Sus scrofa: one gene and its partner. The protein of the gene in region 1 purifies or fractionates together with the protein of each later gene. This does not show direct contact. Links are inferred from orthologs where the notes say so. Each region holds a gene or a part of one and is shown on either strand. Other genes may lie near its edges.

Region 1 (3,830 bases):
GAGAAAGAGGGAAAAGAAAAGGAAAGCTAAAGACAAAGCTCTTTAGGGAGAGTATTAATTGTTTTGGATATGCAAATAATGAGTCATAAGGATGATCCAAAAGGGAGGACCTCATGGATGGGTGGCAGGATACGCATCCTCAACATCATGACGTAATTAGATGTTGGGTGACAACGCTTGTGGAGGATGGAGCTTAAAAAATGGCTTAATGCAGAGTTCGCATCGTGGCTCAGCGGTTAGGGAACCCAACTAGCATCCCTGAGGACGCGTGTACGATCCCTGGCATCACTCAGTGGGCTGAGGATCCAGTGATGCCCTGAGCTGTGGTGCAGGTTGCAGAGGCGGCTCGGATCCAGCGTTGCTGTGGCTGCGGCGCGGGCCGGCAGCAGTACCTCCGATTGGACCCCCTAGCCTGGGAACCTCCAAATGACGTAGGCATAGCCCCCAAAAGACCAAAAAAACAAAAAACTTAATGACGAGCCTTCTCAGTCCAAGGTGTTTATCATGCGTTAAGCACTTTAATCTTTAAAACCACCCTAAGATGAGGATATCCTCTCCATTTTAGAGACGATCAAACATGCTCGGAAAATTGAGGTTGCTCAACATCCCAAGCTACCATGTGGAAGAACCATAATTAGAATTTGGGTCAGCTGCTTCCAACGCTCTGCTAGTTTCGCTGCACCTCTCCTCCACAGTTGGGAGCCGCAAGGTTCCGCGGACTCGCCCGCCGGGAGGGTTGCACTACCCCGGGACCCTGCGCGAGCCGCAACCCTCGCGCCCCAAGCCACCCGGCGCCCCCAGCCCTCCGCTTTCAGTGCGCCGGCGCGTCTGGCCGCCCGCCCTCTGGGGAGGGGCCCGGGGCGGAGGCAGTATCGGGGCTCCGGGGCGGGGTGTTAGCGCGCTCGCTAAGGTGGTGGGCGGGGAGGGAAGAAGGAAGGGGGAGGGCGCGAGGCCGCAGCGGAGGAGGAACTGTTGCGCCCGCGGCTGCGCGGTGCTGCTCCCTCCGCTCCAGTTCGCCCGAGCGGGCGCGGCGGCGACGGCGGAGGTGGCGGCGCGGGCCCGACGGGATGCGGCGCTACCTGCGCCTCGTGGTACTGTGCCTGGCCTGCGGCTTCTGCTCGCTCCTCTACGCCTTCAGCCAGCTCGCCGTGTCCCTGGAGGAAGGTGCGGGCGGCGGTGGCGGGAAGCCGCAGGCCGCAGCGGCTTCCTGGCTCGGGGGCGGCGGGCGCGGCGCCGCAAGAGGGGCGGGCAGCGCGGGCCAGGCGGCGCATCCCGGCCGGTCGGACAGGTACGAGCGGTTCCCTGTCGGGGGGCTGGGGCGAGGGGCGCCGAGTCGCGGGTCTCGATTTGGCCGGGGCTGCACGAGGGGCCGTCCCGCGCCTCCCGCCACCGGGCCCGCGTCTCCCGCTTCTTTGCTGCCGACTCTGACCCCCTTTGCTCGTTTCCCTCCTTCCCCTCACCCTGGGGGTGAGCCTGGCGCTACTCCAGCCTGAAAGCACCCACGCTTTTTGTGTTTGTCTTCTTACCCATTGGTTATGCACTATTCAAAGCAGTTAGAAATTAATTTTCAACTTTTAAATGATAGTTGCATCTCCCCCCCACCTTCTTAGGAGTCATTGAAAATTAGAGGGTCCTACAAAAGCCTCTTGCTGTTTGGCTAGTGGGAATTCCCTCTTGTTTCCATGGCGTTCAAGTTGAGATATTTAAACATCGGGCTGACTCCCTAGTTCAGTTTCCACCCCCTCCTGAATGGGACGTCTCATTTTCTTGTTAACGCTTACATTTTTCATTAGCCGGTTAGTTAAATCTGGACAGAGCATTTTATAAGGATTGTGAATTTTTCTTTAGGAAACAATCGGTCTATTGTGAAACTTATAGCGAGTTAAGAAAAATAAGCGATACTTAAGCTCACGTCCTTTGTGAGTTGGGATAGAGGTGGCTTTCTTTAAGAATCGGAGTTTAAAAAGCAGCATAGTGACTTAAGTGGATTTACGCAAATCACTGCCAGCGTTGAAATCAACGTGAGATTTAAGCGAAAAAAAGAATGCAGCGCATTACGAATGCTTAACCAAATCTGAGCGTTTCCACTTCCTTGAAAAAGAGGCGCCTCTCTTACTCGGGAGAGCTCCCTTAACAAGAGGCAAAAGCTGCTTTGATATTGGAGAGTATCGGGTTGGTTGGAGGAGTGCAGGTCAGCTGTAGGCTGTTTAACATTCTTCTGAGAGTTGATGGTCATTCCCAAAATGAAAGGGGACGTTTGAACAGAGGAGCAGAGCCCATGGAAAAGCTGGATTGTCATGATTTCACCCAGGGGTTTGATTACAGTCAGGACTTTGTTCATAAAAGCAGAACTACTTCCAGAGCCAGGTTTGTGAACGCTCAGTTATCTGTCCTGGGAGAGGCAATAACTGAAGATCTGGATAAACTCATGAAAAGCTGGTCATGGTCTATTACGCTGGAGTGAAGCATTTAAAGTTATGGGGAAGGAACTATTTTTGCATTGGGTAGAATTATAAGGAAGCAACATTTTAATCAAAACATTGAGTGAAATTGGACTCATTTCGACTTGATAGGGTAACATTCACTTTTAGTGCCTGCCTTAGATACTTATATATTATTTTGTGACTAATTTTTATAAGCTATATGTGCCTGGCCAGCTAATTTTAACAAAGTTGCATTATTTAAAATTCAGGAAATAAACACCTCAGTTTTAATAAATATTTTGTAGCGCCATTTCTGGAATCTTAAGTTTGATGTCTCAGAGTCCAGTCAGCCAGAAAGCTGTTTTTCTTCTGAGCAGCATAACTCCTCGTTTTAAATGAGGCCAGCATTTAAGCTAAAATTGAAGGTGTATCATTCTTTACAAAATATATGCATGTATAAGGAGAAGTTTGGGCAGAGGAGCAACCTGGAAAGGCTGAACTGTCATGTTTTTACCCTATGAATTCATTGAAGTCGGCAGAATTCCTAAGACATCAGGACTCTTTTCATTTTAGATATTATCATTTTTAACCTCTTTTTAGATTTCTCATAGAGTTTAGTCAACTTTTTTGGCCACCATGGGGTATGGATGGAGTAGGTATTCTTAGCCTCTTTTCCTGTGTGTAAATCATTGACCAAGGTGCAGAGGGCATCATAACTGGACCAGGTTAAAACCATGTATCCTTTGATTGCTCTGCAGGTGCTCTTCCTCTAAAGCTGCAGGGATAAGAACCTAGTCTAGATAGTGTTTCATCAGTAGAAAATGGGACTATGAGACAAGCAACATCTTCCTTTTTTTGTAGGACTCGATTATCATTGCATTCTTTTTTTTTTTTTTGTCATTTTGCCTTTTCTAGGGCCGCACCTGTGGCATATGGAGGGTCCCAGGCTAGGAGTCTAGTTGGAGCTGTAGCCACCAGCCTACACCACAGCCACAGCAACACGGGATCTGAGATGAGTCTGCGACCTATACCACAGCTCATGGCAACGCCAGATCCTTAACCCACTGAGCAAGGGCAGGGATCGAACCCACAACCTCATGGTTCCTAGTCAGATTCGTTAACCACTGCGCCACGAGGGGAACTCCTGCATTCTTACTTTTTTTGGAAGCAGTCTTACCTCAAAGATTAAAACTATTATTTCTCTCATTTAAACGTGGGATTAGGATTATACCCAGTAGGTTCCGTTGGTCAAATCTTAAGAGAAACAACAAAATACTTAGAAATGTCCTTCCAAGTTCTCAAAGTAAAAACACAGAAATGATGGGAACAACTTTTCAGTGAAATTTATAATTAATTAGTTCATTTTGTCTGAATCCCTTATTTTGGTATTCAGAAAATGGGTAGATC
Region 2 (3,912 bases), on another chromosome or scaffold:
TGCTCCATCTCTTGGTAAATAAGCCATCATGCAGGATCTTACCTTTTTTTTTTTTTTTTCCTCTTTTCTTTCTTTCTCCCCCTCCCTCCCCCTTTTTTTTTGTTTTTGTTTTTTTTAGGCCCACATATGTGGCATATGGAAGTTCCCAGGCTAGGGGTTGAATCAGAGCTGCAGCTGCTGGCCTACACCACCGCCACAGCAACATGGGATTGCAGATGTGATAAATTCATTTGAGTAATAAGAAAAATGAAAAAAACAAAAACAACAACAACAAAAAAACCCATGGGATTGCAGCCACATTTGTGACCTACGCCTAAGCTTAGGATGGATCCTTAACCCACTGAGCAAGGCCAGGGATTGAATCCGCATCCTCACAGACACTATGTTAGGTTCTTAATTCACTAAGCCACAATAGTAACTCCTGGAGGATCTTATTCATGAAATCCGTACTGTTGGAAAATGCTTCAAAGAAGCAAACAACATCCTGTGGCCCTTCAAACTATCTTCTCCTGAAGGGCCCAGATAAATAGATCTAACAGGCTTATTAAATGGATGAACTGAGTTGTCTATGTGATTATTTTTGTAATCTGGGTCAGTAAATAAAGTGACTTCAAATTGTGAAAAAAACAAACACAAAATTCATTCTTCAGAGATTTGGCCTCAGCTTCCTTTTAAGAACATTGTGCTTTAACGGAAAAAAAATCTCTAACAAGATCCTTAGTAGGATCTACAGTCCTGCTCTGTCTCAGGCCCAGAAAACTGAAGATGTGCTAAAAGTTAGTTACAAAATCTGTGGTGTGTTTGAAAATTTTCCATTGCACCATCTTTTTCTCACTCACTGCTGTTAAGTGTGATTGTGCCCTTTTTGTCTTATCTTGCTTTTGGAAACATCACAAATTGAAAGTTGAAGTAACGCTGGATTATAGTATTCTGGGCTATATTTTGACGTTGGGTGATAAGGCGGCCTCAGACTGCTGGGCCCAGAGCAATGACTCTGCAGGAACGGTGGCGCCTGGTGTACAGCGACTCCAGGACAGGCCAAGGGAGCCGTGACTGATTCCATCATATCTGCGCACTCGCTGCACTGGAAACCAGGTCCTTCCCGATGGCTCAATGGACCTCCCACCCATCCTGCCAGCTTCCATTTGCTCTCTCATCGAAGGGAATGAGATGCCAGACCCCGAGGCCCGGGTCCAGGCACCTGAACGGTCGAAACCATAGAAATTAGGATGCAGTGCCGGGCAGCGCGCCCACTAAGGCACCAGAACAACCAGCGCGGGAACGCCTGCCTGGCCAGTCCCGCCCCACGACGCGCGCGCGCGCGCGCGCGCCCCCGCCGATCCCGATGCCGCCGTACACCGCCTCCTTCCATACTGCCCAACCAACAGCCACTTCCTGCCTCACTCCTAACCAATCCCCACACTCCACGAAGAATAGCCCTAGGGGGCGTATGGGAAGGTGCATAGAGCGATGGCCACAATAACCAATTGAATTCAGGATCTTGCGCGAGAGGGCGGGACTTGGCGCTGGTGGTAGCTACTGAGGAGACAGGGGCGGACGCAGGGCCGGGCTTCGTGCGGTGGGGCTCGCTCGCGCGGCGGCTGCAGGAGTCGAGGCCTCTTGGTTCTGCGGCACGTGACGGTCAGGCTCCCTCAGCCGCTGTCTCCACTGCAGCGTGGGGCCAGGTGTGCGGGCGGGAGGAGGCGCGGGCACCACCGGCGGTCCTCCTGAGGCTTGAGGTGAGACAGGGGCCTGCCCGTGTCTTCGGGCCTGTGAGGACCCTCGGGGGCCTGGGTGCGCGGCCTGGCGGCGGAGGTCTCGAGAAGCCGGGCGTGGCCGGGGCTGAGGGGTCCGGCTGAGTTTCGATGGCTCAGGCCCTGGTGGACCCGCCAGACGGGATGGGTTAGGCCTGAACCTGGGCCGCTTGAGTTGCGGAGCCAGGCCCAGGCCGCGCCGCCGGGGTTGGGAGGCGTGGCAGGTGTCCTAGAGCCTTTCTTGACCTCTGGGAAAGCTAACTTCTCTTCATGGTTCTGCTTCTAGGGCTTTCTTATACCTATTGCTGACTGCCTGGGAAGCTGTGAGGTGGGGTAGAGTAACCGGGTAAAGGTCTGGAATAGGATCGGGCCTTGTTGGTACTCTTAGTAGTGGGGAAAGGTGATAATAGGACAGAGAGAGGATATTTAGAATTAGCATTACAGATCTAAAATTTGAAAATTAAAACCGCAAAGTGAAGACTGGACTGTAGCAGCCTGAAGAGTATGGAGAATGTGCTAGAACACGCACTGGTTAAAAAACTTAAGTCCTAACATTTACATCTATTTGGAGATTGGGGGAGTAAGTAATCTCGTCGTAAATTCAGTGGGCTTTTAAAAGCAGGAAAGCACCCAAAAGCTCTCCGTGGGCAGGTCGTTTTATAGTGAAGGAAACTGAGGCCCAGAGCTCAGAAATGATCGGCCCAAGGTCATGCGATTAGTTTTATGATCACGTTGGAATTACAGTTGAAAGCTAGGCAGTTTGTGTGTAGTGGTTAAGACTAAGGCCCTTGTTCAGGTCCTTCATCAGCCATTTGTTGCTATGTGAACCTGGGCAGTTCACTTCGTTTCAGATAATGGATGTAATACCTGATAGAGTTGTTGTTACCATTAAGACGTGTGTAAGAAAGAGCAGGAAAGTTAGATGTACATTTTTAACTGCTTGATAAATGACTGCAGTAAATTATTATGGTGAATGCTGTTGATCCACTACACTAACATCCTAATTAGCTAAGTCCTATTTTCCAGGACCTGAAGTCACATTTATGGAAATAGGAGGAAGAAACTGGACCTAGTGGTTTGACTGCTGATTGAGGGAAGTTAAACTGAGCTGGATATTAATTAAAAGCTTGGGAGGAGAAAGGTGAACCACAGTTAGGTCTCTTTACCTCTAATTTAAGAAATAGAACCTTTTACTTAATTTCTTAATGGGTAGAATGGTGTGGGGAGGTTTTCGTTCTGTTTTGTTTTGTTTTAAGAGGGGAACCCCGTTGATCTTCAAGACTGTTGTGTACCTCACTCTTTTTTCAGTACTGTTGAAGGGTCACTGCTGAGTTGTATATTTGCTGTAGTTAGAGCAGAGGTAAAGCACTGTGTGGGAGTCCTCCTGTGCACCAGTCTGTGTGCACAAGCAAACAAGCCAGGAAACTGGATCATGAGGTGGCTACAGTGAGCTGTGTATTGGAGTAAATGTGTTGCACCGCAGATTTTCTGACCTATCCGATAATGGGTGTCAGCATCCCTTCCTACTTGACTATCTCTCCTTAACAGTTTCAGCTAACACATTATCTTCCAAAGAGTAAACGTTTTGACAGAAGTTGTTGCTGCAGTTTTGGCAATCCTGCTATTGCATCCTTTCAGTTACAGAGTTCACTTTGCCCTGAGAGATAGCTTAAGGGAACGAAGCGACAGTTGGTAAGCATAAATGCAGACTCAAGAGACTTGAATTCCAGGCCCAGCATGGTAACTAGCTTATGAGCTAAGTTGGTTTCTATGTCTTTAAAATTGGAGTGAGGAATCCTCTGACTACCTACCTTACCATTAGGGGGCTTTTTAGGAGGGACAAGTAAGATGGTGAACATGAAACTACTTTGTTTTTTTTTTGTTTGTTTTGTTTTTTGTCTTTTTGCTATTTCTTTGGGCCACTCCCTCGGCATATGGAGGTTCCCAGGCTAGGGGTCTAATCAGAGCTGTAGCCACTGGCCTACGCCAGAGCCACAGCAATGCGGGGCAACGCGGGATCTGAGCCGCGTCTGCAACCTACACCACAGCTCACGGCAACGCCGGATCGTTAACCCACTGAGCAAGGCCAGGGACCGAACCCGCAACCTCATGGTTCCTAGTCGGATTCATTAACCACTGCGCCACGACGGGAACTCCC

What was found.
Region 2: the proteins of GXYLT1 (region 1) and CANX purify together in Homo sapiens (affinity purification with mass spectrometry; 3 studies listed by BioGRID and IntAct, counting the BioPlex papers as one, with this or other methods). This does not show direct contact. The link is inferred for Sus scrofa from reciprocal best matches to the Homo sapiens genes GXYLT1 and CANX.

What each region holds. Positions count from the first base shown.
Region 1 is NC_010447.5:73,405,466-73,409,295, reverse strand, and holds the start of GXYLT1 (glucoside xylosyltransferase 1), read left to right. Parts: upstream 1-936; 5' UTR 937-1,067; coding exon 1,068-1,288; intron 1,289-3,830. UniProt on the Homo sapiens protein: Glycosyltransferase which elongates the O-linked glucose attached to EGF-like repeats in the extracellular domain of Notch proteins by catalyzing the addition of xylose.
Region 2 is NC_010444.4:78,913,473-78,917,384, reverse strand, and holds the start of CANX (calnexin), read left to right. Parts: upstream 1-1,560; 5' UTR 1,561-1,739; intron 1,740-3,912. UniProt on the Homo sapiens protein: Calcium-binding protein that interacts with newly synthesized monoglucosylated glycoproteins in the endoplasmic reticulum. It may act in assisting protein assembly and/or in the retention within the ER of unassembled protein subunits.